Linked DNA regions of Sus scrofa. The protein of the gene in region 1 interacts with the protein of each later gene in a pairwise test. Links are inferred from orthologs where the notes say so. Each region holds a gene or a part of one and is shown in the gene's direction. Other genes may lie near its edges. The genes, in order: RHEBL1, FHL3, PRKAB2 and TXNL4A.

Region 1 (7,710 bases):
AGTTGCTCTCTATCCCAATAAGGTCTTGTTTATTTTTTCTCATTGCAGTTATTACTTTTTAAAATTGTAACTCAGGAGTTCCCGTCATGGCGCAGTGGTTAACGAATCCGACTAGGAACCATGATGTTGCGGGTTCGGTCCCTGCCCTTGCTCAGTGGGTTAATGATCCGGCGTTGCCGTGAGCTGTGGTGTAGATTGCAGACGTGGCTTGGATCCTGCGTTGCTGTGGCTCTGGCGTAGGCTGGTGGCCACAGCTCTGATTAGACCCCTAGCCTGGGAACCTCCATATGCCGAGGGAGCGGCCAAAGAAATAGCAAAAAGACAAAAAAAAAAATAAATAAATAAAATAAAATTGTAACTCATTAATTGCTTACTTGTAGATTGTTAGTCTTCTCCCAAAAGAATGCTTGTTCCTTGTGAGCAAACACTTTGTTTGTGTTGTTCACCGCTCTATTCTAAACACTTGGAAGGGTGCCTGGGATGTGGTGGTTTTTTGATAAATATTTGTGGATAAATGAAAGAATAATGCAGTTAGCCTTTATCGCTCTCCTTCCTCTGGAATTTAACAAATTTATTTCCATCTGAGCATCATAGTAATGATGGATTCCTCTGTCTCATCCTTCTTTTTTTAATTTTTTGGTCTTTTTAGGGTCACACCCTTGGCATATGGAGGTTCCCAGGCTAGGGGTCTAATCGGAGATGTAGCTGCTGGCCTGCACCACAACCACAGCAACACCAAATCCAAGCCATGTCTGTGACCTACACCACAGCTTACAGCAATGCCAAATCCTTAACCCACTGATTGAGACCAGGGATCAAACCTGCGTCTTCATGGATACTAGATTCATTTCCACTGAACCACGATGGGAACTCCTGTCTCATCCTTCTGATCCTTTTTTTTCCCCCAAGCAAAGGCGTACAAAATTCCCAGGCCAGGCACTGAATCTGAGCAGGAGCCTTTAACTCACTGTGTCAGGCCAGTATTGAACCTGATTCTTGGTGTTGCGGCGACAAGGCAAATCTGATTGTGCCACAGCAGGAACTCTGGGTGCAGCCAGATTCTTAACCTACTGTGCCATAGGGGGAACTCCTCTTCTCTCTGAATCTTTTGCTAGCTTGTTCCTTACTATCATTCAGTTCAGACCTCAGCTTAAGTGGGGCATCCTTTGAGAGGAAGTGTCACTGATCTAAACTGGTCTTTTCTTATCACAGTTTTTTTTTTTTTCTTTTTTCTTTTTTTGGCTGTGCCTGCACACACGCACTTTCCTGGGCACACACGCACTAACCCTAACCCTAACCCTAACCCTAACCCTAACCCTAACCCTAACCCTAAACAGACCTCACACTGTTTATTATGGCACTTTTTTTCTTTTTTCTTTTTTAGGGCCTCACCTGTGGCATATTGAAGTTCCCAGGGTAGGGGTCAAATCAGCTATAGCTGCAGGCTTGTGCTACAGCTGCAGCGATACAGTATGGGATCCTAGCCGCAGGTGTGAACTACAGCCAGCTCAACAACACCGGATCCTTAACCCATTGAGTGAGGCCAGGGATCGAACCCTCTTCGTTGTGTTTACTAGCCGGGTTTGTTTCCACTGAGTCACAAGGGAAGCTTCCTAGCGTTTACTCGTTCATGTTTCTTTCTTCCCAATTAGATTTTAAGCTTCATGAGACCTTATCTGTCATATTCATCACTGTAAGTGTAATGCCTAAAACATATTGAATACGCTTAATGAATATTTGCTGAATAAATAAGTACGTGGCTTATGACAGCGAAACCCAGAGGACTTGGCCACAAATTCTAAAAATTTTCCCAGGAATAAGAATTGCAGTTCTGGGACTTCCCGTCATGGCTCAGAGGAAAGGAATCTGACTAGTATCCATGAGGACGCAGGTTCGATCCCTGGCCCCGCTTACTTGTTTAAGGATCCAACATTGCGGTGAAGTGTGGTGTAGGTCGCAGAGGTGTCTCGGATCCGGCGTTGCTGTGGCTGTGGCGTAGGCCAGCGGACACAGCTCCGATTCAACCCCTAGCCTGGGAATTTCCATATGCCTCTGGTGCAGCCCTGAAAAGACCAAAAAAAAAAAAAAAAAAAAATTGCTGTTCTGAAGTTAGATCCTGGAGGACTGTGGAAACCTGACAATATGATATCTGAGGCTGAAGGCTGGGGAAGTGGAGGTAATGTATTGCAACTTGGCCTTTTCTTCCCCTACCCAAGGACCCTGGCACCTTGCAAAAGGGAAGCCTAGAATCGTTTGACCAGAAATTCCAGCCTGGCCACATGGGTATTTTCCATCCATGATATTTTGCCGTCACTTCTGCCAGGTTGCAAAAGCGCAAACATCTCTAGGACCCCGGGTTCCTTTCTGTTTCTTTATGAATGAACCGGGTCTAGACTGCGCCTGCGCAGCTCGCTGTTCTCCCGCTCCACGTGAGGCCCACCCTTCCCTCCTGCTACGGCCCCGCCCTTATCTTTTCTAATGGACCAATAGCGAGCGGCCTGGGGGGCGGAGCCCGGGGCGGCGCGGCAGAGTAGTTCACCGGTCGCCCGGCTCCCTAGCCTTAGTCTTGCTGTGTTGTGATCACGTGGCCAACTCCGGGCGCGGCGCTTGTTTTGGTTTCCCTCTAGCTTGCCTTTGGCAGCTCGGGGTGAGCGACTTTCCTGTGCCGGTTGTCGCGCCTGCTTGTACTTCGGCTTTCTTTTCTTGGGGCTCTCTCAGCCCGAAGTTCGGCAAGCCCCTGGGGGCCGGCTCCTGCCATGCCTTTAGTTCGCTACAGGAAGGTGGTCATCCTCGGATACCGCTCTGTAGGTGAGTCTCCGCCTGGGAGAGAGCATGGATGCACCGTGGCTTTGTGGCCAGAGGAGGCGCGCTGCCGCGGGAACGCGCCCCAGGCAAGGAATGGTGGCATCCTTAGAACCAGCTTGTAGAGCGATGACTGAAAGAGGTTGCTGAGAGAAAGGCTGGCCTGTTGGTAGTGTGTGGAAGGCTGCGGGAAGCGGGAGCTTGTAAGAGTTAACGTGGGCTTGACTGTTGGAACGCCCGAGCGGTCCTCAGCGTTACTCTGGGAGGTGGAGGTGGGTTTAGGATTCGATGACGGGGACGCATTCTGGGTGGGGCAAGTCTAGGTGTCCAGTGCAGGGCAGACAGGAACCTAGGGAATCCCGGATCTTTCCAGGAGTGAGGTGGGGAAAGGCGGCGGGAAAGGCTTCCTGCGGCGCTCCTGTATGCATGCATACGGTGGTTAAGGTGCAGAGAACCAGGGCGAAAAGAGGGTGAGGGTAGGCTAAGGGAAGGCAGTGCATGGGGGCATTTACAGACCAGGATGCTAATCTGGGGTCCCCTTTAGTCCAGGGTCACACCCCTAAAGGACAGAGGATGTGAATGTCGATGGGTGATTTGGATACAACTACCTCTGCTTTCCACAGGGAAGACATCTTTAGCACATCAATTTGTGGAGGGCGAGTTCCTAGAAGATTATGATCCTACTGTGGAGAATAGTGAGTAGACTTCTCCCCTAGGGACAGGGTAGGGAGAGCTTGGGTGCCCCACCCAATTCCACCGTTTGGGATTTTCCTTGTGCCAAGGGGATGATTTAATTAGACATTAAATCTAACCTCTTCTCTAGCAATCTTGTTCTATGAGTGGAGCTAGAGTATGCATTTTCCAAGAGTCCAGGATGGTGTTTGTGTAGACAATAAGAAGCCTAATGTTGTCTTTCCAATTTCCTGGACAGCTCCCTGGCCCTGACCCATCTAAGTCACCCCCAGGGTTAAGAATGTATTAGGGCACGTTTCTAGCCCTACAAGGCACCTCACGGTTAAGTTTTCTTTTCTTTTCAGCTTACAGCAAGATAGTCACTCTTGGCAAAGATGAGTTTCACCTACACCTGGTGGACACAGCAGGGCAGGTACCAGTTTGGGGTAGGGTATCCTTTATTTATTTATTTTTTTCAGCCACAGTGTGAAGCTGCTTAATGTGGGATCTCAGTTCCCAGACCAGGGACTAAACCCAGGCTGCAGCAGTGAAAGCACTGCGTCCTAACCACTAGGTCACCAGGCAACTCCCTGGGCTAGGGTATCTAAATGTTGCAGTTCAGTCCTGGGAGATGAAGTCTGGCACCCTCTGTGGCTCATCCCAAAAGCATTTTAGCAGCTAGTAGCGTGCAGCGCTGATTTGGGCAACTCTGTAAATACTTGCTGAATAGAAGTGACTGGAGTAGGGTGTGCCACAGAGAGTCCCCAGGGTGCAGCCCACCAACCTTGGCCATCTGAGTGTTGTAGATCTGGGTACTGATGTTTCTATTTCTTGTCAGGATGAGTACAGCATTCTGCCCTATTCATTCATCATTGGGGTCCATGGTTATGTGCTTGTATATTCTGTCACCTCTCTGCATAGGTAAGTGACCAAGGTTGTGAGCGGGGTACTTGGGAGGATCTGAGGGCTGGTCCAGAATAAGGTTATAGCTTCGCTTCTTGTGTTTAAAGCTTCCAAGTCATTGAGAGTCTGTACCAAAAGCTACATGAAGGCCATGGGAAAACCCGGTATGTGACACTGGGGGCTAAAGATATAGTGTAAACGTGAATGGAGAAAGCAGACAGAGGGAGGTTGAGGATCCAAATTAAGGAGGAAGCCAGGACATAGATTCTCTCTGGTCTGATGGGGAATTATCGAGCTCTGATGGGAAGGAGGTTGGGGTCCATGGGAGACAGAGGGGATCCCGTAGTAACTGCTGTTTCCTCACAGGCTGCCAGTGGTGCTGGTGGGAAACAAGGCAGATCTCTCTCCAGACAGGTACGGAAATCTCTGTAGCTTCAGGCGAAGGAAAGTGAGCTGAACTAGGAATGAGTCAGGTCCTTGTCCTGGCTCTGCCATTGACTTGAACCAGTCATTTTACCTCTTTTCACTTCTAACTTGAAGGCTAAAACAAAATCACCCTTTTATGGCAAAAGCTATAGTTTTATATTTTAAGCCTCAGTCCTAGGCTCCTTTGTTTTTCTACATTTTCTCCTCTTCCAACCCTGTTCCCAAACCTTGGAATGAGATAGATCAGAGGAAATCTGATTTCTACTGAGATATTGCAAAGATCATGGGGGACATTGCTCTCCTTCATTTTCATGTCCCAAATTTGCTTCCAGGGAGGTCCAGGCTGTTGAAGGGAAGAAGCTGGCAGAGTCCTGGGGTGCAACATTTATGGAGTCATCTGCTCGAGATAATCAGGTGCTGGGCCTGAAGATTAGGAAGGTGGTGGGGGGGGTAGCAGTGTTTTTCTTATGGCATCGCTTGGTGGTGGGGATGGTGGGGGAGTATAGGGTATTCACCTCAGAGTACTGGCAGTGAACTAACCAACTTTTTTGCCCTGAATTCTTATCCCTTGCAGCTGACTCAAGGCATCTTCACCAAAGTCATCCAGGAGATTGCCCGGGTGGAGAATTCATATGGCCAAGAGCACCGTTGCCATCTCATGTGAACCCTTGAGCATGGGGTAGCTGCCTTGATTCTGCTCCTGGCATGTGCCAGGCTCCAGCAGAGGTTTGGGGGGCAGGGCCTCAGGACCTCACGGGTTTGGTTACCAGCTGTGTCCCTGGCCCTCTGGGCACACAGTGTGGTACCCTCATGTTTGCACACTTGCCCAGGCTCCCGTGGCCTGGCTGTCAATGTTTACAAAGGGGCAAGGATGTCTCACGGGCAGTGTCCTCTAGCCCTCTGTCTTTGCTAAGTAAATGAATTGTTATAACCTGTGGGATTGGGATTTGAGTCCTGGGCATTGTTTATTTAGGACCCAGTTGCCTAGGTAGGTTTTGGATGTTGGCTGGGTGAGGGGAGCTGGGGACTCCTGAAGTGGAGGTGACTCTCTGGAGTGACAATGTATATATGCAAATAAACTGAGAAATCCTTTTGTAGTTGACTTCTCTGTATCTGGGGAGAGTTCAATGCCAACAGCTCCTTTTCCAAGGAGTTGATGGCTATGGCCTTTGGTAGCGAATCAGGGCAAATGTTTTCTTCCTGCCTTGTTACCATTCCTTACCTCTTCCTCACTCATTCAGGACCATAACCCTAGGATCTCCTCCTCACCTTTCCCACTTTCCTTTTCTACTCCTTTCGCCCATACAGGTAACCTGTTGGCTGCCACTCCCTCCCAAATTTGTAGACGCTCACCATCCCCTTAACTACAGAAACACCACCCTCTAGTGGCCAGCTGCCACATGCTGACCTAGCTTCCCTCCTGGGGTCTTGGCATTTGCTGGAACTCAGAGAGGATAGGGTTTGGGCTGGAGGAAGAAAGACCCTAGTTCCTAATCATGTAAGAACAGTGAAGTAGTGAAAAGGCAGGGACTAAAGTGTTGTGAAGATTTTAGCTTTCTAAAGAGAGTCGAGTAAAGTAAGAAATAATGCCCTGGGAGTTTCCTGATGGCCCAGTGGGTTCAGAACCAAGCACAGTCACTGCTGTGGCTCAGGCCACTGCTGTGCTACAGGTTTGATCCTGGCCCTGGAATTTCCAAACACCCTGGAGCATGGCCAGAAAAAAAGAAAGAAAAGAGAAAGGAAGAAAAAAATGCCCCGATGTATATCAATCCCCACTCCCCACCCTCGTCTTCAATGCCTTTCATTAAAATGGATATTCTTGGAGTGCTTTTGTGGTGCAGCAGTTAGGGATCTGGAGTTGTCACTGCCGTGGTATGGTTCGATCCCTGGCCTGGGAACTTCCACATGCCTCAGACCCATAAAAGGGATGCTCTTTGCTCCTTTCATACCTTTCAAACATTTGAAGTTGTGCTACCTTTTTTAGGTGTCAAAGGCTAAGTTTGGTCCTACCCGGCCTCTACTCCCTACCCCCCCTGGTAGCCCTTGGGCCTAATTGGCCTAATACCTTCTCCAGGGATTTATAAGGATACTTGAATGGTAGCCTTCACAGGAAGGGCATACCTTTCCTGGCAACTTGAAGAACTTGAGGTACTCTGTCAATGCACTTAGTTGGGGAAAATGGACAAAATGTAGGTGGGGTTTTTAGCTGTGACCTTGTTATTGCCTGGCTCCAGACCAGCCAGCTAGTCTTACAGTTGGGGGTGATGGTATGTCACGCTGGTTTTCAGAAGTCCTGCCAGCTGCTTTTGGAGCTCTCATCCGGAATCTAAAAAGAAATAAGGGCTGCTGGAAGGAGCATATTCCAAAGAGCAATGTCTCAGAGGTTTAGGATTCTCTTTATGGTTGTCAGGTTGTCATCACCCTCTCTCCTTACACTAAAATGACGTCCTTTTGCACATGTGACCTGGAATTCTCATTATGGGTACCTACACTTCTGCTGTTATTTCCATAAGGTCTGAGATAGAATAACACATATCTGAGGTTTTCTAGAAGTGTATCAAACAATCTCAAGGCCTGATTAGTAGTAAAGGACAGTGGTTAATGGTTGGCTTGAAACAGTTACTCTTCCACTTAGCTCTGTGACCTTGGCCAGACACTTAACCTCTCTGAGCCTCTGAACCTCTCTGTTTCTCCTTTCTGAAGTGTAGTTAAAGCTTTCTCACAGGATTGAGGTGAAAATGAAACTGAAATGACATATGAAATGCCTAGGCATAGTTCCTTATATATAATAAACCCGTAAGAAATGTTTGCTGTCATGTTATTGGACGTCTTTTTGGTGAGGGTCTGGCCTGCCTGCCTGCCTCTGGATGAAGACAGTAGGGAGAGGCATTATATTTTCAAATTTCT
Region 2 (6,228 bases), on another chromosome or scaffold:
ATGAACTGAGTGTCATGGAAGAAGGGCAGCTGTGAGCTCACGACCCATACCTTCCGAAGAGCGAGGCCCTGCAGGCTCGGGGTGTCTGCTGGCGCCTGGAGTCTGAACTCCAAGCCAGAGCAACGCTTGTTGGCTAGAATTTTCTGCTGGGGATGGCTGAGAAAAGGAGGGCTTTTCCTTCAACCTGAGCCAGGCCAGGCTCTAGGGAGTGCCAGTTACTGGGGTCTAATCCGGGGGAGTGAGTTGGTGGGTTCCTTTGAACAGGCTGGGTTCATCACCCCGGGCTTGGGCTCATCGGCAGCTGTGAGAACATCCCCCCCCCCCCCCCCGCCGCTTTGGTCCTGGTGGTTCCTGTCCACACACCCCGGGATCCTAGACCTCAGAGAATGGCTTTCACATTGGAGGAGGTGGGGGTGGGGAGCTCGGAATGGAGGGCTAGGAACTGGGGCAGAAGGGACTGGGAACCCCACTTCCCTAACACTCTGTACTCCCCAAGCTCCTGCGGCAGAGGCAGCTGTGCGGATGACCTCATCCCACAAACATGCTTTGTTCCTGAGAAAATGGAAAGTGTCTGAGGTTTGGTGGGGGGCTGGGTGTCTGCAGCAACAGCTCTCAGGGCCCCCCTTGCCTGACTCCCTACCTCTGAGGGGGCCCGATTGGAGAGATGTCTTCAGTGGCTCCCACTCTCTCATGCTTCACTCCCCCAGCCGCAAACTCTTTGCGAAGCCGGGGAGAAGCTGTCTCTCCCAGAGGCAGGGGGAGGGAAATAATGACCCAGGGGATGGAAAGATTCTGGGGCTTTGCCAGTTGCTGCCAGGAGTGACGCCCGGGCAGAAGATGGCAGGAGGCACACCCCATAATCTCCAGTTCCCCTCTCCCTCCCCGAGCATCTCATTTCCCTTTTTTCTTCCCTGTTGCTGGCAAAACCTGACATCTGGCCATCTGTGTTGCCACAGCTGCTGCAGATGTTGCAGGCCAAGGCTGCCCAGGCTGGTGTGATCAGAGACCCAGCAGGAGTTGGAGGGGGGTGAGGGCAGAGGGTCCAGCTGGGGAAGCTTGGCTGTGTCCAGCTTGCAGGATTTCCTTCCTGCATTACCTTGGCCGAGCCTCTGAAGCCCTTGTTGCTGGCTTCTCCTGGGAGGGGTGGCCCAATGCGACTTCTCCCATCAGCCTCCTCCACCTCCACCATTCATTGGCCCAGCATCCTTCTTACATTCCACTGTTTCCTGGATCAGGAGGCGGGTGCAAACAGCCCATTCTCATCCCTAAGCTCCGCACTGCAGAGCTCTGGGTATAACCCTAGAGTTCCCTCCTGGGAGTCAGGAGAGCGTGACCCAGTGCTGTTCATATGGGATAGGGTGGGGTGGCTCCCTGCCCCCTACTCTTGCCCCCCTTGGGGACAGTAGGCACAGTGGAAGCTAAACAGGCTGAATACAGGGACAGGAAATGAGTCACTGACCCAGGAAAAGCCCCCTCCCCCCAGATCTGCCAGGGCCCAGATAAGAAAAGAACTTCTGCTTCCTGATTTTTTTACTGACCCCCTCTCACCCCTAATGCTAAATACAGAAATAAACTTGCAGGACCCCAGAACACCCATTACCCATCGCCACCTTCATTTCCTATGCCTCGTCTCTTGCTCCTTTTTTAGTGCAATGGGCTTCGCCCCAGCCCCTCTGGATGACTCGGTCCCACTTTGTGTCCCTCCTAGGGCTCCATCACAGCCACCATGAGCGAGACCTTTGACTGTGCAAAATGCAGCGAGTCCCTGTACGGGCGCAAATACATTCAGACGGACAACGGCCCCTACTGTGTGCCCTGCTATGACAACACCTTTGCCAACACGTGCGCTGAGTGCCAGCAGCTTATCGGGCATGACTCAAGGGTAAGGACTGGACCACGCAGGGCAGGGAGCAGGTGGAGGTGGGCCGGAGGGGACAAAGGTGCCAGTCTCCGTGCCGGGCTCCCCACAGGAGCTGTTTTACGAGGATCGCCACTTCCACGAGGGCTGTTTCCGCTGCTGCCGCTGCCAGCGCTCCCTCGCCGACGAGCCCTTCACCTGCCAGGATAGCGAGCTGCTCTGTAACGACTGCTACTGCAGCGCCTTCTCCTCTCAGTGCTCCGCCTGCGGAGAGACCGTCATGCCTGGTACGTTCCTGGGGGCTCGTGGTGCATGGGACTGGCAGGCCCATCCGATACATACTTGGAGGCTTGGTAAAGCCCTTCACATGCAGCACGTTCCTGAAAATCTATTGTGTCCATAGGCTCTCGGGAGCTTGGCACTCACGGGAACTGACACGCTTGATACACATCCGGGGTCTTAGCATGTATGAAGACTTGCATGTTGGCACATATAGGAGCTTCGAGTTTGCTGAGACTGTCTTGCTTGGTGCCTTGGAGCTTGGCATGGGCAAAGACAGATAGATACAGAGACAGATAGATACAGGGCTTACTGTGTTTGGCGATCCGCATGGCCAATGTAATATGAGGATTTAGAACGCATGGAGATTGGCATGATTCGAATATGCAGAGGCTTATTACCTACAGAATCTATCATGTCCAGGCCTTTAGAACTTTGTGTGGGCAGAGTCTTGCTTGCCTGGTATTCGGTGTCTTTGTGTGTGTGTGTGCTCACACCATCAGGTCTGGTGTGTAAGGCTTTAACATAAACTGAGTCATCGCACCTGAGACCTGGAGGCCTGGCGTGTGCTGAGATCATCATATCTGGTACATATGGGGACTTCGAATATGCCAAACCCTCAGGCCCCCTAGTTTGTGGGGGCCTAGCATGTGCGGTGTTGGAACCAGGTTACCAAGTGTGGTACAGGTAGTGGGGATCCTGCCGCAAATGCATGGACACCACCCTGTAGGCTGTGGGAGTGGCAGGGACTCTCCTTGGGGGGAGCAGAGGGTGGCACTCAGGAGCTTAGGACACAGCCTCTGAGTGGAACCCCTGTTCCCCACAGGGTCCCGGAAGCTGGAGTACGGAGGCCAGACGTGGCATGAGCACTGCTTCCTGTGCAGCGGCTGTGAGCAGCCGCTGGGCTCCTGTTCCTTTGTGCCCGACAAGGGTGCTCACTACTGCGTGCCCTGCTATGAGAACAAGTTCGCGCCTCGCTGCGCCCGCTGCAGCAAGGTGGGGGCTGGGCCAGTGGGGTGGGGGCGCTGATCTCCACTGCACTCAGGGGTGGGGGTGATCAAGGCTCTGTTGTCCTGGCGTGGGAATTCCCCACCCCTCTGCTGACGGATGCTGCCCCCCACAGACGCTGACACAGGGTGGCGTGACGTACCGTGACCAACCCTGGCATCGAGAATGCCTGGTCTGCACAGGGTGCCAGACGCCCCTGGCAGGGCAGCAGTTCACCTCCCGGGACGATGATCCTTATTGTGTGGCCTGTTTTGGAGAACTCTTTGCACCCAAGTGCAGCAGCTGCAAGCGCCCCATCACAGGTGGGACACAGGGTCAGAGAATGGAGGGGGTGGTGGGAGGCTAGGGAATAGGACCTGGTATTGGGTGAGGCCAAGGGACAGGCCCACCCTCCAGATTGCAGAGCTAAACTCCAGCCTCCCTCCAGGACTCGGCGGAGGCAAGTATGTGTCCTTTGAAGACCGCCACTGGCACCACAGCTGCTTCTCCTGTGCCCGCTGCTCCACCTCCCTGGTGGGTCAAGGCTTCGTGCCGGATGGAGACCAAGTGCTGTGCCAGGGTTGCAGCCAGGCAGGGCCCTGAGCCAGGGCTCCTGGGCCCAGGCCCTCCCATACCAGGGCTCCAGGACTAAGGCTCCTCTTCCAGACCACCTCTGGGTCCCAGCCCCGCCCCAAATGGGGTTCCCCCTAGGCTCCAGGATTCAGCCTCCCCACTCCAACATCCCCAATCTGGTACTCCAGGCTTAATGGAGCCTCCATCATTTAAATCCCCCCCAAACCAGGACCCCAGAACTCAGTCTATATGGGTGACTGAAAAGTCCTCAGAAGTGGACCCTCCCCACCCTCATCCCACCTCTCTCCACAGGGATGGGGCTTTCTGGGCAACAGATGAGAGGTTCAGTGCTTAGGGGGGGTCCTAGGGTACAGTTTTGCCCAGCCCGTGTTGTCAAGTGTTTTCTCGTTTCAGTTCAGCTCTGTTTTGCCCAGAGATGGGCAGAGGGGTGGGATTGGCTCACCCCACCATTCAGATTCTGCAATAAAGCAGTATGAAGAAGCCAAGGCCTCTGTGTGTTTGTCTGGGGGTGGAGGGACTAGAAAGGTTTCTTTGCACAGCAGGGACTCCGAAGCCCTTCCAGACCTCGGTTCAGGGCACGGGCGCGGCGCGGGGGCGGAGCGCGGCGGGGGGAGCTGCCAGGCGGGGTGGGAAGTCTCTCCCAAGAAAGGGGATTCCGGCTGCCTTGCCGCTCCTGTCCCTCTCAGACTTAGCCTGCTTCCCTCCTGCTGGTAAAGGGCTTTTTCCTCCGGGTGGGGAAGGGAGGGGCTTAGGGGAGGTTCCCGACGGGAGCAGAAGGGAGGCGGGGGGCGTCGGGTTCCCCGTATAGTACTAATCGCCCCCTCCCTTAACAGCCTTTCTCAAATCCCGCAGAACACCCGGCGCGGATCCCCAGTCTGGGTACAGACCCAAAACCCCCTTCCCCCTCTTCCCAAGGATTAGCGGAGGCGGCCCGGGATCCGCTCGCGGCCGCACGTTTTTTGCCAAAAAAGGCAAGGATGCAGCTGCACGCGCCGCGGGAACATCTGGATCCGATTCCCGGCATGAATGGGTCATGGCCCCGCCCCCCCGTGATTCAAGGGCGGGGGCGGGAAGGAGCGAGGGGGGTTGTCCCCCAAAATGGGGAGATGGGGCGGAGCGCTGCTCCCCTCACCCGGCGTCTAACACCCCTGCCCCAGCGCTTCGGCGGCCTGTGGTCTGGGCTCCGCGGTCCAGACTGTCGGAGCCCGACTCGTGCGCATTGGCGGCGGGCGCGGGCTGAGGCGCTCACGTCCCGCCCGCAGCCTCCCGGGTGGGGGCCCCCAGCGCCGGGCGGGCGGACCCTTGGCGCCCTGTGGGGGAGGGGCCCTCCTGTCCGACAGGACCGCGTGATTATATGTATCTCAAATGAAATCCTCCCAGAAATCCTACGCGGCGGGCGTTTTTCCATTTCACAGAGGAGTCTCCAGTTGTCAGTTCCCCAGTCACCTAGGTAGATCCGGGATTCTAATCCGTTCCACACTTCCTCCGGGCACAATTCGAATCCTAAACTTTCCGAAGCTGTGGTTGATGGACATTTTCAACAAGCCTTTACAAATGCCCGCCATGTCTGCTTATAATTAATAATCACACGTTGATATATTGGTCTCTTTCTTCCATCTGCCTCTAGGAGGACTGGGCTCACGCCTGCCTTGGTCACCTCTCTCACCTCTCGTCTCTCAGCGCCCAGCACTCACTACATGCTCAGTAAATACTTGCTGAGGAAGTGTAGTCCAAGCATAGAAAACAGCTAGTGCAAAGCCCTGGCGCCGTGAAAAACCATACGGTGTCCGTTGGGGAAGCGGCAAGTAATTTCATTTGGAGGAAGTGCCAAGAGACTAAAATGGCAGGCAGAGGCCAGGTCAAGAAAAGCCAGACGCCAAGTTAAACAGAACTCACCCTGCGGGTAAAGCAGCCAGTGGAAATGTTTAAGCAGGGCGGTGAGATGATCACTCCGCTGCAGGCTGCAGCGTGAATAATTGATTGGAGCGGCAAGATAATCAGGCTGCTTAGGAGGCCAGTGCAGCGGTCCAGGTGAGCGATAACTGAGGCAGGTGGCAGCAGGAGTGGAAAAGACAGGACTTGGTGACTTATTTGAAGGAATGGGGAAGGAGAAGGTTTTAGTGGAAGGAAGGCATCAGGTAAATGGTGTTGCTTAGGTGGTCCACCCACCTAAGAGAAAAGAGATGCACAGGTACAATGTGATATTGATTTCAAGAAAAACATTTTTCAGATTTAACATCTCAGAAACCCAGACACAGCATATAATCAACCGTGTGACATGATTTAATTAACAATTTTTTCTTTCTTAGTGGAATGTCAAATAATGGTGGGGTTAACATTCGATAGCATTTCACGTTGGAGGAAATACGGTAGATCCCAAGCTTTATCCCCACTCCCCCACTCCACCTCTTCCTTTCCCAGAAAGATACGCACACAGTCTTTGCAATCCAGAACAGGAATTTTTGGGGTCCCCCTCCTTTTTGAGGGCCGCTGTATAATGGAGGTTCCCA
Region 3 (7,012 bases), on another chromosome or scaffold:
TACCCACTTCCCTACATTGATGACTCAGGATCTAAGTAATGTATTATTTGTCAAATGGTGACTGCAGTAACTGGCATCCTGAATAAAAGCAGGTTGCTCTATTTGAAATGGAGTCTATTTGGATCATTCTTTCCCTTACCTCAGTCTTGCTATTCATGAAATAAGAAAATGGATTCAGATAATTCTTAAAGTCTCTTCAGAATCTAAGATTTTATACTCAATGTGCTCTCTTTATTTCTTCCCTAAATGTTTCACTTAAACATTTTTCAATTGTAGTTGTAATTATTTTGCCACTTTTCCTGAAGATTTTGCTGACTATTGAACTTGGAGTAAACAATCTTTCTGCTAGTCAGCTGCACTCATGCCTGCCACAGAAATGTCACGTTATCCGTGGAAGGGCTTTCTTCCAAAGCTAAGCATATTAATAGTTTGTAGCTTTCAAATTCTAAACTGAAAATACTAAATCATACAAGTAAATGATAGAAACAGTGGCAGTGGGGCCATCCTCTTCAGTGGACTAGTTACTGGTTCTCAATTAGAATAGGCTGGAATTTGTTTAAACACTTCATGGAAAATTTGAAACACTGTCCATGTTTCAAAGCAGGGAGAACAGTGTGATGAACTCCTGTATAGTTGTCATCCAGTTTAAACAATGATCAAATCATGAATGAATTTGTACCACCTATATACCCCCATCCACTCTACCCTCACCAATTATTTTGAAGCAAATTCCAGACTATCATATCAAATATTACTTTATTAGTATTTTAGGATACATTTCTAGAGATGAGGTTTCTTTATTTTTAACATAATCACAGTGTTATTGTCTGGAAAGCTTTTTAAGAATAGACTCCCAGACCCTATATTTGAATCAGAATCTGAGGCATTTGTAATTCTTAGGCATATGTAAAAATTTCTCTAATTCTAATGCAGCCTGTCAAGCAAGAACTCATTGCTTTGAGAAAATGGAGATCAAGATTTTTTAGGAGCTCCCGTCATGGTTCAGTGGTTAACGAATCTGACTAGGAACCATGAGGTTGCAGGTTCGATCCCTGGCCTTGCTCAGTGGGTTAGGATCTGGTGTTGCTGTGACCTGTGGTGTAGGTCAAAGATGCGGCTCAGATCCCACGTTGCTGTGGCTGTGGTGTAGGCCGGTGGCTACAGCTCTGATCAGACCCTTAGTCTGGGAACCTCCAAATGCTGCGGGTGGGGCCCTAGAAAAGACAAAAAAAAAAAAAAAAAAAAAAATTCTCTAAGCCATTTCCTTATATAACGTGGAAGTCCCTTCTTTTTCTCTGTTTACTTTGGATTTATGCTGCTACTGGTGTCTCGTAGTGTAGTTTTGAGGAATATGGAGAGACAGTACAGAAGGTAGACTACCTCTGCCATTTTTAATGTAAAGCCCATATGAACAAACTAGTTTTTTTTTTTTTTAACTCATTTTATCTGGTAATATTTTGGTTTAATACCATACAGTCTTATTTACCTATTTACCAAAGTCATTCAAGCCAATCTAAAGTGAGAGTCAGCAAATATTTTCTGTAAAAGGCCAGATAGTAAATATTTTAGCCTCTGCAGACCATACTATCTCTGTCACAAATGCTCAGTTCTGCCATTCTAGCATGAAAGCGGCTATAGAAAATGAGTAAGTATGGAGTTCCTGCTGTGGCAGAGCAGGTTAAGGATCCTGTTTTGTCTCTGCAGTGGCTCAGGTTGCTAAGGTATGAATTTGATTCCTGGCCTGGCGCAGCCACTACTGTGGCGTAGATCACAGCTGTGGCTTGGATTTGATCCTTGGCCCAAGAACTTCTATGTGCCATGGGTGTGACCAAAAAAAAAAAGAGAGAGAGAAATAAAATAAGTGAATGAGTATGACTATTTTCCAATAAAACTTTATTTATAAAAGCATCTGGCTCACTGGTCATAGTTTGCTAATTCCTGTACTAAAGGATGGTAGTTCCTTTAGGCTCCAGAATCTTTTTTTTTTTTTTTAATTTATTATTATTTTATTTTTTGTCTTTTTGCCTTTTCTAGGGTGGCTCCTTTGGCATATGGAGGTTCCCAGGCTAGGGGTTGAATCAGAGCAGTAGCCACAGCAACGCGGGATCCGAGCCGCATCTGCGACCTATATCACAGCTCGCAGCAACGCCGGATCCTTAACCCACTGAGCAAGGCCAGGGATCGAACCCACAACCTCATGGTTCCTAGCCGGATTCGTTAACCACTGAGCCACGACGGGAACTCCATGGCTCCAGAATCTTTATCACTACTCCTAAAACAACTCGTATAAACCTGGCAGGGGTAAGCAAGTAAGATTTCGTAACCCTTTCTCAAAATTTAAGAAGCCATGGAGGTTCCCAGGCTAGGGATCTAATCGGAGCTGTAGCTGCTGGCCTATACTACAGCCACAGCAACTCCAGATCCAAGCCTCCTCTGCGACCTACACTGCAGCTCATGGCAATGCCAGATCCTTAACCCACTGAGCGAGACCAGGGATTGAACCCGCCAACCTCATGGTTCCTAGTTGGATTCATTTCTGCTGCGCCACAACAGGAACTCCTGATTTTTATATTTTTAATGTCCCTTCGTAACCTATTAACTAAAATGGAGATTATGAATTACATATGAATTTTAGTATCTCTAATTTCCATTACAGCTTATAACTGAGAGCGTCTCATATTTGCATATGAAAAATACATGGCTAACTTTATTTTTGTAGAACCATTCTTTATTTTCATATTTCTTCTCATAAGTGATACTTAGAAGCATATCGTAATTGTCTGCCTATGAGTTCATCTGGTAACAAGAAGCAAGGTTTTTTGTTTTTCAAGGGAAATCCTAAGGTTCTGAAAGGATGAGTGATTTATGCAGAGTCAGAAGTTGGGCTGTTATGTGGGCAGCTTTTGAGTATAAGCCATTTGAACCACTTTGGTCCTAGATGAGTTCTTTTTCTATAGTTTGTTCAGAATCTGATTTAGTTGCTAATATCAAGGCTTATTAATACTTAGCAGAAACCTAGCACCCCTCTCCTCCCTAGAGAGGAGAATGACTTTTTCAGAATTCCTGGGTCACAATTTAGGGATGACCTAATCCTTCTTACAGCTCCCTGGGGACAAAGAGTTTGTATCATGGCAGCAGGATTTGGAGGACTCCGTAAAACCCACACAGCAGGCTCGGCCCACTGTTATCCGCTGGTCTGAAGGAGGCAAGGAGGTCTTCATCTCTGGGTCCTTCAACAATTGGAGCACCAAGATTCCACTGATTAAGAGGTGAAGACAAGTGTCTTGGTTGAGTCTGTAGAGTCCAGGAGTAGAGACCTGATTTCCTTTCTCAAGAGAGACCTGACTGGAATACTCCTTTCCATCTGCTACAGACTCTCTAGAATATTTTCTGTGACCAATAACTATATCTATGACATTTTTTTGTTTTTAACCTCATAGCAACGAGTCAGAGATGTTTTACCACTTAGAATGCCATTGCCTCAGAAGGACTTATAACAGCTTTGTGGGTACATTCTTTAGGATTGTGTTAATACTAGTCCTTTCTGTGCTTGTGGGAAGTCTTCTGTAACTAGCTGAGTCCTATTGCTCTGACTTCTGCACTAAAACAAAACACATTGTAAAGGTCTAGATAGTAATGTTATTTGTTGCTGGCAGAGCAATAATGAATTATGTACTGGTTATGGCCCTTTGTATGTAGGTAATTTCCTAGAAAATGCTCACCAAAATACACAAGGGGTAGGGCATTTCTTATCCTGAACCTATTTGCTGTCTTATTTACACTTGTGAGGGATCTATTCAGCTGAAGCAAAATAGTTGTGCTAAGGTGGAACATTCAAGGGGATTAACATCTTTACTGTACTTTTCCAGATATTAGTTAAGAACTAAAGTTACTGGGAGGGGCTAGCAAGTACATGCAAAAGGTGATAGAGAAAAAGGAGAATGGGTTTATAAATTATTTTTTACTCCAGAGGGTGCAATCACTTAGGAATGTGGGAGATCACTGGTATGATAGTGATTACCTCATGATTTTTACATTTATTTTCAGTCTTCTAATAGGAGCTTGGCCAACTAATTTTCTGCTTTCTTCTGTAGCCATAATGACTTTGTTGCCATCCTAGACCTTCCTGAGGGAGAGCATCAGTATAAGTTCTTTGTGGATGGACAGTGGGTTCATGATCCATCAGAGGTAAGGCCTTGATCTCTGAGGGTAACCACTGACTTAACAGTCTGTCCCCTTTTGCTGTTACTCCTTTTGGTGTCAAACAACATTGCTGTCAGGACTGATGGGCTCCTACACGGAGGATTTCTTTCTTGATAAAAGATGGTGCTGCCAAGTAGGATCATTTTTTAAAAGAAAAGAGTTGAACAGAAGAGATAGATTTGAAATGGGGATTCATGTATTTTTTTTCCATTCACTGTTTCAGCCTGTGGTTACCAGTCAGCTTGGCACAATTAACAATTTGATCCATGTCAAGAAATCTGATTTTGAGGTGTTTGATGCTTTAAAGCTAGATTCAATGGAAAGCTCAGAGACATCTTGTCGAGGTAATTTTGTAGTATTTGCTCTTTTTTGATGTGTTCTTCTTATCATGCATGTTTCTTTCCAAGAGTGGTTTTTATTTTTTCATTTTCTCCACAGAAATTTCTGAATTATATGTGTATGTTCCTCCTATAACCATTTAGGTCCCCTTCTCTGAGAGAAAAAAATCTGTCTAGTGTATTTGATTTCAAACTTTTTAACCAGGATCTGTAGTAAGTTTACATTATAACCCCATACACACAAACACACACATAACGTAACCGTAAGTCTTGCAGTATGTTTGCCTTTATTACATGTAAAGCACCCTGTTTTCTATTTTATCCTTCATTTACAAACCATTAATAGGCTATAGTCTACACCTGTGCTGTATTAGGGCTGCACCTGTGGCATATGGAGATTCTTAAACTAGGGGTCGAATTGGAGCTATAGCCACTGGCCTATGCCACAGCCACAACAACGCCAGATCCAAGCCGCATCTGTGACCTACACCATAGCTCACAGCAATGCCAGATTCTTAACCCAGTGAGCAAAGCCAGGGATCAAACCTGTGTTCTCATGGATTCGTCTCCACTGAGCCATGATGGGAACTCCTGTAGTTTTAAAAGCTCTTTCTAGTAATATTTCACGTTTTTCATTGACCTTTAACAGTGTCAACTAGCAGGGGCTAGTTGAGTTTGGTTTGCCTTCTTTAACTGCCTCAGCCTAATCCTGCCAGTTTGATAGCTCATTTGGCAGTTCTATAATTTTATAAGGCCCTATACTTAAGTCAGTCTGTAGAAAAAAAGCCTCACATTTCTGAGAAAAAAGTATCTATACATGTATGTGTAACTGGGTCACCATGCTGTACAGTAGAAAATTGACCAAACATTGTAAACCAGCTATAATGAAAAAAATAAAAAATCATTATATTAAAAAAAAAAACTCATATTTCTATTGTGTGTATGTTAACTGAAGTTTTTAAAGTTTTTGGTTAAAAAAAAAAATTTCCTTGTTAGAGGAAAGACCTATATACTTTTGTTTCTCACAATATTTTTTCCAAGCCCCTCATCTCTACTTACATTGGCTATAGCACCAGAAAAATAATTTGCTATCCATATTCACAGTTATCGATTTTGTAACTTTACAGTAAAGGCTCTGATTGTCTAAAGAAGTGTGTTCCAAGGAAGCACACTTCTTCCTTGTGAACGCAAAGTCTGCCTCTGCTACTAATTAGCTTTGCCATCACAGATGAGACCTTCAATGCTTTTGGTTCTCAGTTGCTTATCAGTAAAATCAGAGGCTTAGACTTTCTGTGATTCTCAGCTGAGACACAATACCTGAACTGGGCATATTAGAATCTCAGGGCACAAGGGTGGCTTGTGCAGGTTCTAAAAGTATAATTAATAATATAATAATTATCTGTTTGGGAGTTTTGTGGTGGTGCAGCAGCTTAAGGATCCAGTATTGTCTCTGCTGTGGTGTGGGATCAATCCCTGGCCCTGGAACTTCTGCATGTCTTGGGCGTGGCCACAAGATAATAATAATAATTATATAAAGCTGTGACCTTTGCTGCAGCTGTGGCAACACCAGTTGCTTTAACCCACTGTGCCACAGTAGGAACTCCAACTTTATGATTCTTGTCTTTTACCATATTTAGTATTAGCTGCCATGTATTGACAGTTTTTTCTTGCATTTTTTGTAGCTTCCCATCTTTCCCTTATATTTGTATAAATATCTTCCAGACCTTTCCAGCTCACCCCCAGGGCCTTATGGTCAAGAAATGTATGTGTTTCGATCAGAGGAGAGATTCAAATCCCCACCCATCCTGCCTCCCCACCTTCTCCAAGTTATTCTTAACAAGGACACTAATATATCTGTGAGTATCCTAAGAGTATTATTGGGGCATCTGGGGGTCACTAGGGCCATTTGAGCCAAAGTTATGTAATTCTAGAAGTTGGGATTATTAAAAAGTTATGTTGAGTATAAATCATATACTTATCAGTAGTATTGCAGGTTCCTTTTTCCAGGGCTAAGTTGTGACTTTTCCAGGTACTTATATCAAAATTTATACTTGTCAAAAAAAAAAAAAAAAAAAAAAAAAGAGTTCCCGTCGTGGCGCAGTGGTTAACGAATCCGACTAGGAACCATGAGGTTGCGGGTTCGGTCCCTGCCCTTGCTCAGTGGATTAACGATCCGGCGTTGCCGTGAGCTGTGGTGTAGGTTGCAGATGCGGCTCGGATCTCGCGTTGCTGTGGCTCTGGCGTAGGCTGGTGGCTACAGCTCCGATTCAACCCCTGGCCTGGGAACCTCCATATGCCGCGGGAGCGGCCCAAGAAATAGCAACAACAACAAAAGACAAAAGACAAAAAGACAAAAAAAAAAAAAAAATTTATACTTGTCTTCTGATCCTAATATATCAGGCCCAGAGCTATGGATTGATAGAACTAGTTTTTAACATTTTTAATTCCAACATAAGATGAGAAGTACTTAT
Region 4 (7,727 bases), on another chromosome or scaffold:
GGACCGAACCCGCAACCTCATGGTTCCCAGTCGGATTCGTTAACCACTGCGTCACGCATATTTATTTATTTTTTTAAAAAATTAATATTTTTGGTCTTTTTAGGGCCCCACCCACAGCATATGGATGTTCCCAGGCTAGGGTTCGAACTGGAACTATGGCCACTGGCCTACACCACAACCACAACAACGCCTGATCCGAGAGGTGTCTGTGACCTACTTGACTCCACAGCTCACAGAAACACCGGATCCTTAACCCACTGATCGAGGCCAGGGATTGAACCCATATACTCATGGATTCTAGTTGGGTTTGTTAACCACTGAGCTACCAAGGGAACTCCTATAAAGTCTTATGGATACTAAATTTTTTTTTTTTTTTTTGGTCTTAGGGCGACACCCGTGGCATATGGAAGTTCCCATGCAAGGGGTTGAATCGGAGCTACAGCTGCCAGCCTATACCACAGTCACAGCAGCTTAGGACCCAAGCCTTGTCTGTGACCTACATCACAGCTCATGGCAATGCTGGATCCTTAACCCATAGAGAGAGGCCAGGGATCAAACTTGTGTCCTCATGGATATTAGTCAGGTTCGTTTCCACTGAGCCACAACAGGAACTCCAAAACTACAAAATCTTAGAAGAAAAAAGGAGTAAATATTCGTGACCCTGAATTAGGTAATGGTTTCTTAGGTATGACACCAAAAGCACAAATAGCAGAAGGAAAAATAAATACACTGGATTTAATCAAAATTTAAAAGTTTTATGCTGGAATTCCTGTCATGGCACAGCAGAAATGAATCCAACTAGGAACCATGAGGTTGCTGGTTCGATCCCGGGACTTGCTCAGTGGGTTAAGGATCCGGCGTTGCTGTGAGCTGTGGTGTAGGTCACAGATGCAGCTCATATCTGGTGTGGCTGTGGCTCTGGTGTAGGCTGGTGGCTACAGCTCCGATTAGACCCCTAGCCTGGGAACCTCCATATGCCACGGGTGCAGCCCTAAAAAGACAAAAAAAAAAAAGACCAAAAATAAATAAATAAATAAAATTTAAAAAAAAGTTTTTGCTGTAAATGATACCAATAAAAATAAAAATAAAAAGTCATGGAGTTCCCTCATAACTCAGAGGGTTAAGGGTCCAGTGTTGTCACTGCCCTGGTTACAGCTGTGGCATGCGTTAGGTCCCTCGCCTGGGACCTTCCGCATGACTCTGGCAAGGCTGGAAAATAAATAAATAAATAAAGTAAAAAATCAGTCAGAAAATGGGAAGAATTTTTTTTGGTGTTTTGAGGGCCGAACCTTTGGCACATGGATGTTTCCAGGCTAGGGGTTGAATTGGCGCTGTAGCCGCCAGCCTATGCCACAGCCGCAGCCACGTGGGATCTGAGTCATGTCTGCGACCTACACCACAGCTCATGGCAATGCCAGACCCTTAACCCACTGAGCAAGGCCAGGGATGGAATTTCGTCCTTATGGTTACTATTCAGATTCGTTTCCACTGAGCCACGACAGGAACTCCCAGGAGGAAATATTTTCATATCATACATATGATGGGGGGTTTATATCCAGAATATGTAAAGGACTCTTATAACGCAACAATAAAAAGACAATATCCATTTTTAAGTGACCAAAGGAGATGAATAGACATTTCTCCAAATGGCCAATTAAAAATGATGCTCTATATCATTAACCATTAGGAACATGCAAGTCAAAACCTTAAGAAGACATCACTTCACATCCACCAGGATATCACTCTGTATAAAAAAAAAAAATGCACACAAAAACAGGAATAGGCCAAGACATGGAGAAATCCAACCCCACCTTGCTGTTGGAAATGCAAAATGGCATATCTAGCCACTTTTGAAAATGGTTTGGCAATTCCTCAAGACATTAAACATAATTACCATGTGATTCAGCCATTCTACTTGCATATACCCAAGAGAAATGAAAACTTAAATCCATACAAAACCTTACACATGAATGTTTATAGCTGCATTACTTATAAAGCACAAAAAGTGGAAACAACCTTAATGTCAATTAACTGATGGACAGGGAGTTCCCTTGTGACTCAGTGGGTTAATAACCTGATATAGTGTCTGAGAGGATGCAGGTTCAATCCCTGGCCTTGCTCAGTGGGTTAAGGATCCCACCTTGCAGCAAGCTGCAGTATAGGTCAGAGATGTGGCTCAAACCCAGTGTTGCCATGGCTGTGGGTAGGCTGGCATCTGCAGTTCTGATTTGACACCTAGCCTGGAAACTTCCACATGCTGCAGGTACAGCCCTAAAAGAAAAAAAAAAAAAAATTAACTGATGGATAGTTAAATGCAGTGTATCCGAACAACAGAACATTAATCAGCAATAAAAAGGAACTAAGTACAGTTGACCTTTCCACAATGACCCTATCCTCAGTCAAAAACCCATGCATAATTTTACAGTTGGTCCTTCAGTTTTCTATCTGCAGATTTAACCAACTGCCATCCTGAAGTACACGTGGTACACGTGTGAGTTAGAACCCCTGTTGCTCAAGGGTCAACTGTACTGATTCGGCTACGATATGGGTGAACCTTGACAACACTATGCGAAATGAAAGAAGTCATGAAAGACTATATATTGATGTTTCCACTTACCTGAAATATCTAGGCTGGCTCGTGGTTGCCAGAAGCCAAAGGGATGGGAGGGAAATGGGACTGCTAAAGAGTACAGGATTAGGGGTGATGAAAATTTCCTATAATCAGATTGGAGTGTTGGTTCCACAACTCTGTGGAAAACCATCTTTTTTTTTTTTTTGTCTTTTTCCCATTTCTTGGGCCGTTGCCGCCGCATATGGAGGTTCCCAGGCTAGGGGTCGAATCAGAGCTGTAGCCGCCAGCCTACGCCAGAGCCACAGCAACGCGGGATCTGAGCCGCGTCTGCAACCTACACCACAGCTCATGGCAACGCCAGATCCTTAACCCACTGACCAAGGCCAGGGATCGAAGCCGCAACCTCATGGTTCCTAGTCGGATTCGTTAACCACTGAGCCACGACGGGAACTCCTGGAAAATTATCTTATTCTAAATCGGTGAAACCACTTTACAGTGTGTAACACCTCAACAAAGCTTTTTAACAAAAGAAGTATCTGCAGGGATGATGGTTGCAGAATGAAGTGAATGCACCCAAAGCCACTGAACTAGATGTGGCTAAAACAGTAACTTTTATATGTATTATACCACGACCGCCAAAACGATTAACTTGAGGGACTTTGTGTGGGAGTGGACAATACCACATCATCCTCTGTCCGCTCCCACACTGCAGGTCCCGGTGGCGCCCCATGACATGCGATTCAACTTTGTCCTCCCTACTGAAGAGGTGGAAGCCCAGAGCCAATCCGACCCGGGCAAAGGCGCGCACGTACACGTCAGCGAGCACGCACTCCGTGAGCGCGCACGTACACGCCTGCGCGCGCGCACTCGTTGGAGCATTCCGGCTCCTGGAGGGACTGCTGCGCGGGAGATCACAGGGAAGGCAGAGGTTGGTGCGGGACCCTCGGTTGGTTGCTGGGGTGGAGGGGCGGATGTGCGACCCCGGGGGTTCCTTCGCTCTGGGTTCTGGGCCACGGGGCGAGGCGTCCCAGTGTTGGGGTCGGGGCCCGGGGAGGAGGTGGACGCGGGCCTGGCCGTCCTGGCTGCCCCGTGGGGTGAGGCCCCTGTGGGGTGGGCCTCTGTGGGTTGGGCTCCTGTGGGTTAGGGGTCCCTGTGGGTGAGGCCAATGGGGTGAGTGAGGGTCCGGGTGAGTGAGGGTCCCTTCCGGTGAGGCCTTCGTGGAGTAGGGTCCCCGTTGGGGAGGTGTCCTCGTGGGTGGGGCCCAGCGGGTGCGCTGCGGTGGAGCTGGGAGGAGCTGGTTGGTGGGTTCCCCCTGCAGACCCGTCGGCCCCGAGATGTCGTACATGCTCCCGCACCTGCACAATGGCTGGCAGGTGGATCAGGCCATCCTCTCGGAAGAAGACCGCGTGGTGGTAATTCGATTTGGACACGACTGGGATCCTACTTGCATGAAGATGGACGAGGTTCTGTACAGCATAGCTGAGAAGGTAACGCAGCCCTGCCCCGCCCCGCCCCGCGGTGGGTTTGCTCGGTTCGTCGTGTTGGATTGCTTTTGTTTGAAGTGCACGCTGTACTCATTCTTCGCCTGCAACACGTTCGTTCACCAAAGACAAGAAGCGAGGTTCACAGACAGTCTTATCCTGGATGTGAGGTTGTGCTCCCTGAAATAGGTCAGAATAGTTTGTCTTTTTGTGGGAGGAGTTACCATAGATTTTCAAACTTCTAAAACGTTCATGATCACTCTCCCTAGGTAAGTTAATAATTCCTATTGATAGAGTGTTTTCTAAAGTGCACATCTGTAGTGCCAAGTAAAACACATTTGCAGACTTTATCTTAGCTTAGTTTTTTTTTTTTTTTTTGTACTGTGTTTATCTGTTTTATTTATAAAGCAGAACATTTATTTTACCAGCATGGTAAATTCCATTCTTTTTCTTTCGGTAGGTTTTCCTTTTTTCTTTACCCCATCATGCTCTTTGTAAGTGACTTGGTTTATAGCTTAAAGTGACTCTTTTTTTTTTTTTTTTTTTTTTTGCTTTTTAGGGCTGCACCTGCCATATTTTTTTTTAGGGTGCATGTGCAGCATATGGAAGTTCCCAGGCTAGGGGTTGAATCAGAGCTACAGCTGCTGGCCTACACCACAACCACAGCAACACAGGATCCCAGCCGCATCTGCAACCTACACCACAGCTCAGGGCAACACTAGAACCTTAACCCTCTGAGCAAGGCCAGGAATAGAACCCACATCCTCATGGATACTAGTAGGATTTGTTTCCACTGAGCCATGACAGGAACTCCGGTTTTTCCTAATTCTTATCGGTAGTACACAGGGTTGTTTGTAGCTTTTGTTTGTTAACAATAAAATGCAATTGTAGGGCACTGTTGAATAACCAGGGTTTAATTCTTTTTCTGGAGTTATCTCATGGGAATTGTTTTTTTGGCCCTGTTGGAGGCATGTTTCCCTGGGCCAGGGATCAAATCCAAGTAACATCACTAACAATGCTGAATTCTTAACCATTAGGTCATCAGGGAACTCCTTCTCAAGGGGATTTTAAGATAACTTTGATTTGGATTTTTGCAATTGTAGCAATAGGGCAAAAGGCAAATATATTATGGCGCTAATAAAATGTTGAACTTACAGTAATTGAGAGGGCATTCATTTTAATGAAGAGTAAAAGTAAGGGAAATGTTGGATGGAATAGGGTGTACTAATACAGGTTCTGTTAAAATAATGACTGAGGAGTAATGATTATGTATAAGGGTATACTTTTGTATTAGGAAAGGAAAAACTGTCTGACCTGCCATCAGTAATTTTCACTACCTCCCATTTGGTAGGAGAGGCAGAGTGACATAAGGGTGGTAGCACTGAGAACATTAGGGACTGTCCTTCTGTGAGTGTTAGTATATAACTTGAAATACTTACCAAAGTGCATCTCAGAGATTCTGATTGTACAGGTCTGGGGTAAAGTCCAGAGATAGCTTATTTTTTTTTTTTTTAACTTTTATTTATTTATTTGGCCAGGCTCCTAGCTTGTAGAAGTTCCCAGGCCAGGGATTTAAAGAAGTTCCCCAGGAATTCTTTTTTTTTCTCTTTGGGTGCATTCACAGCATGTAGAAGTTCCCTGGCCGGGAATCGAACCCTCACCACAGCAACAACCCAAGCCTTTGCAAAGATCCCTAACTCTCTGCACCACAAGACAACTCCTTCCCCTGGGAAATCTGATGTGACTTTGAGAATCCCCTTGATGAGGTTGGGATCAGTAGGAGTGCTGTGACCATAGCCGCTCCACCTTCTTCCTTCTCAAGACATTGAGGGAGCATGAGAAGGTGCCTGAGGAAATGGAGGGGGGCAGGGTTCTCACACGGCAGTCTTCCCAGGAGTTCCCATCGTGGCTCAGTGGTAAGGAACCCAACTAGTATCCATGAGGATGGGGGTTCAGTCCCTGGCCTTGCTCCATGGATTAAGATCTGGTGTTGCTTTCAGTTGTGTGGGTCGCAGATGCAGCTCAGATCTGGCATTGCTATGACTGTGGTGTAGGCCGGCAGCTCAGATCTGGTGTTGTTATGACCGTGGTGTAGGCTGGCAGCTATAGCTCCGATTGGACCCCTAGCCTGGGAGCTTCCATATGCCTTGGGTGTGGCCCTAAAAAGATAAACAGCAACAACGCAGGGGTCAGAGTTAAGAGTGAGGTGCCGGGGGTCGTTTGTGTATGGCAGTGGTCAAGGGCAGGTACTGCAGAGTCCAATGAAGTTGAATGAAGACACTTCCACTAAGTGGTGATGCTGCCTTGTTGACTCTGAAGTAACTTAGGGTGTGTGTGATGGACTCTGCCTTAAAGGTGGCAGGTGAGCACCAGGTGAGGATGATGAGAGGTGTAAGGGTTGTTTACTCTTCAAATCTGAGCAAAACTCAGAAGAAACTATTAGCTAGGAGACAAGTTTTGAATCAGTGTGAGTTTTAGGGACTTATACCAGAATTGGTCTTTTCTTTCTTTCTTTTCTTTTTTTTTTTTTTTTCTGTCTTTTTGCCTTTTCCAGGACTGCTCCTTCAGCATATGGAGGTTCCCAGGCTAGGGGTTGAATCGGAGCTGCCGGCCTACACCAGAGCCACAGCAATACGGGATCCGAGCCACGTCTGTGACCTACACCACAGCTCACGGCAACGCCGGATCCTTAACCCACTGAGCAAGGCCAGGGATCGAACCTGAAACCTCATGGTTCCTAGTCAGATTCGTTAACCACTGCGCCACTATGGGAACTCCGGAATTGGTCTTTTCTAATTCCTTTATATCATTCAAAGACCACATGGCTGTAGTACAGCAGATATGTGCTTTATGGTATTGAACCTGTTGATAAGAACATTTAATTGAGCTCACTTCAAGTACTTTTCTTTGGTTGGTTGGTTATTTATTTATTTTCTTTCTAGGGCCCCACCTGGAGCACATGGAAGTTCCCAGGCTAGAGGTTAAATTGGAGCTGTAGCTTCCGGCCTACACCATAGCCACAGCAACCCCAGATCCGAGCCAGATCTGCAACCTCCACCACAGCTTGCACCACTAAGTGAGGCCAAGGATTGAACCCACATCCTCATGGATACTAGTTGGGTTCTTAACCCACTGAACCACAACAGGAACTCCTCTTTGGTCTTTTAAAGTTACTCCTTTTCTTTTGCCCAAAACTTGGATTTGTATTTTAATAAACCTTCAATACTAGATTATAGTTATTCAAAATGTAAACTTGAAATGCATTATAAGACTATTAATATTAATGTTTTATTTTTCTTCTTAATGGCAAAATATGAATTTATAGTTCTGGAAGCCCTATTGGGGGAAACTCAGGAATTTTTGAAATTTAAGGTTTTAGTATGAAGAACAATTTAACTGTCTATTTAAACATCTCCCTCTGCAGAAATGGCAGATAGTGGGGGATCCTCCTCACCTTGTTACGAGCCCTGTTTGGAAACCCCAGCTGTATTAAAGTGAGTAAAAGTTCCAATGTAGAGGCTGGACTTGATTATACATTTTCTCCTACAATGTGGTTTGTTGACTTGCTGCTTCGACAGCACCAACTCCTATCTCAGGCTGGATTAGTTTTGAGCTGTACCGAAAACACAGATATGTTAGAGATTTTATAGATGTGTTGAGTTTGATAGAGTAAC

Evidence for each region.
Region 2: the proteins of RHEBL1 (region 1) and FHL3 interact in binary tests that used the Homo sapiens proteins (3 or more experiments, as listed by UniProt). The two-hybrid records come from large-scale screens. The link is inferred for Sus scrofa from reciprocal best matches to the Homo sapiens genes RHEBL1 and FHL3.
Region 3: the proteins of RHEBL1 (region 1) and PRKAB2 interact in binary tests that used the Homo sapiens proteins (3 or more experiments, as listed by UniProt). The link is inferred for Sus scrofa from reciprocal best matches to the Homo sapiens genes RHEBL1 and PRKAB2.
Region 4: the proteins of RHEBL1 (region 1) and TXNL4A interact in a two-hybrid assay, tested with the Homo sapiens proteins (2 studies listed by BioGRID and IntAct). The link is inferred for Sus scrofa from reciprocal best matches to the Homo sapiens genes RHEBL1 and TXNL4A.

What each region holds. Positions count from the first base shown.
Region 1 is NC_010447.5:15,092,588-15,100,297, reverse strand, and holds RHEBL1 (GTPase RhebL1), read left to right. Parts: upstream 1-2,512; 5' UTR 2,513-2,756; coding exon 2,757-2,808; intron 2,809-3,425; coding exon 3,426-3,497; intron 3,498-3,839; coding exon 3,840-3,907; intron 3,908-4,312; coding exon 4,313-4,395; intron 4,396-4,484; coding exon 4,485-4,541; intron 4,542-4,743; coding exon 4,744-4,791; intron 4,792-5,135; coding exon 5,136-5,217; intron 5,218-5,377; coding exon 5,378-5,467; 3' UTR 5,468-5,900; downstream 5,901-7,710.
Region 2 is NC_010448.4:93,978,607-93,984,834, reverse strand, and holds the end of FHL3 (four and a half LIM domains protein 3), read left to right. Parts: intron 1-1,708; coding exon 1,709-1,882; intron 1,883-1,970; coding exon 1,971-2,145; intron 2,146-2,963; coding exon 2,964-3,133; intron 3,134-3,260; coding exon 3,261-3,447; intron 3,448-3,572; coding exon 3,573-3,727; 3' UTR 3,728-4,198; downstream 4,199-6,228. UniProt on the Homo sapiens protein: Recruited by SOX15 to FOXK1 promoters where it acts as a transcriptional coactivator of FOXK1.
Region 3 is NC_010446.5:100,379,950-100,386,961, forward strand, and holds part of PRKAB2 (5'-AMP-activated protein kinase subunit beta-2), read left to right. Parts: intron 1-3,102; coding exon 3,103-3,269; intron 3,270-4,094; coding exon 4,095-4,188; intron 4,189-4,426; coding exon 4,427-4,547; intron 4,548-6,263; coding exon 6,264-6,397; intron 6,398-7,012. UniProt on the Homo sapiens protein: Non-catalytic subunit of AMP-activated protein kinase (AMPK), an energy sensor protein kinase that plays a key role in regulating cellular energy metabolism.
Region 4 is NC_010448.4:127,986,789-127,994,515, reverse strand, and holds the start of TXNL4A (thioredoxin-like protein 4A), read left to right. Parts: upstream 1-3,403; 5' UTR 3,404-3,500; intron 3,501-3,890; 5' UTR 3,891-3,906; coding exon 3,907-4,059; intron 4,060-7,477; exon of another isoform or gene 7,478-7,547; intron 7,548-7,727. UniProt on the Homo sapiens protein: Plays a role in pre-mRNA splicing as component of the U5 snRNP and U4/U6-U5 tri-snRNP complexes that are involved in spliceosome assembly, and as component of the precatalytic spliceosome (spliceosome B complex).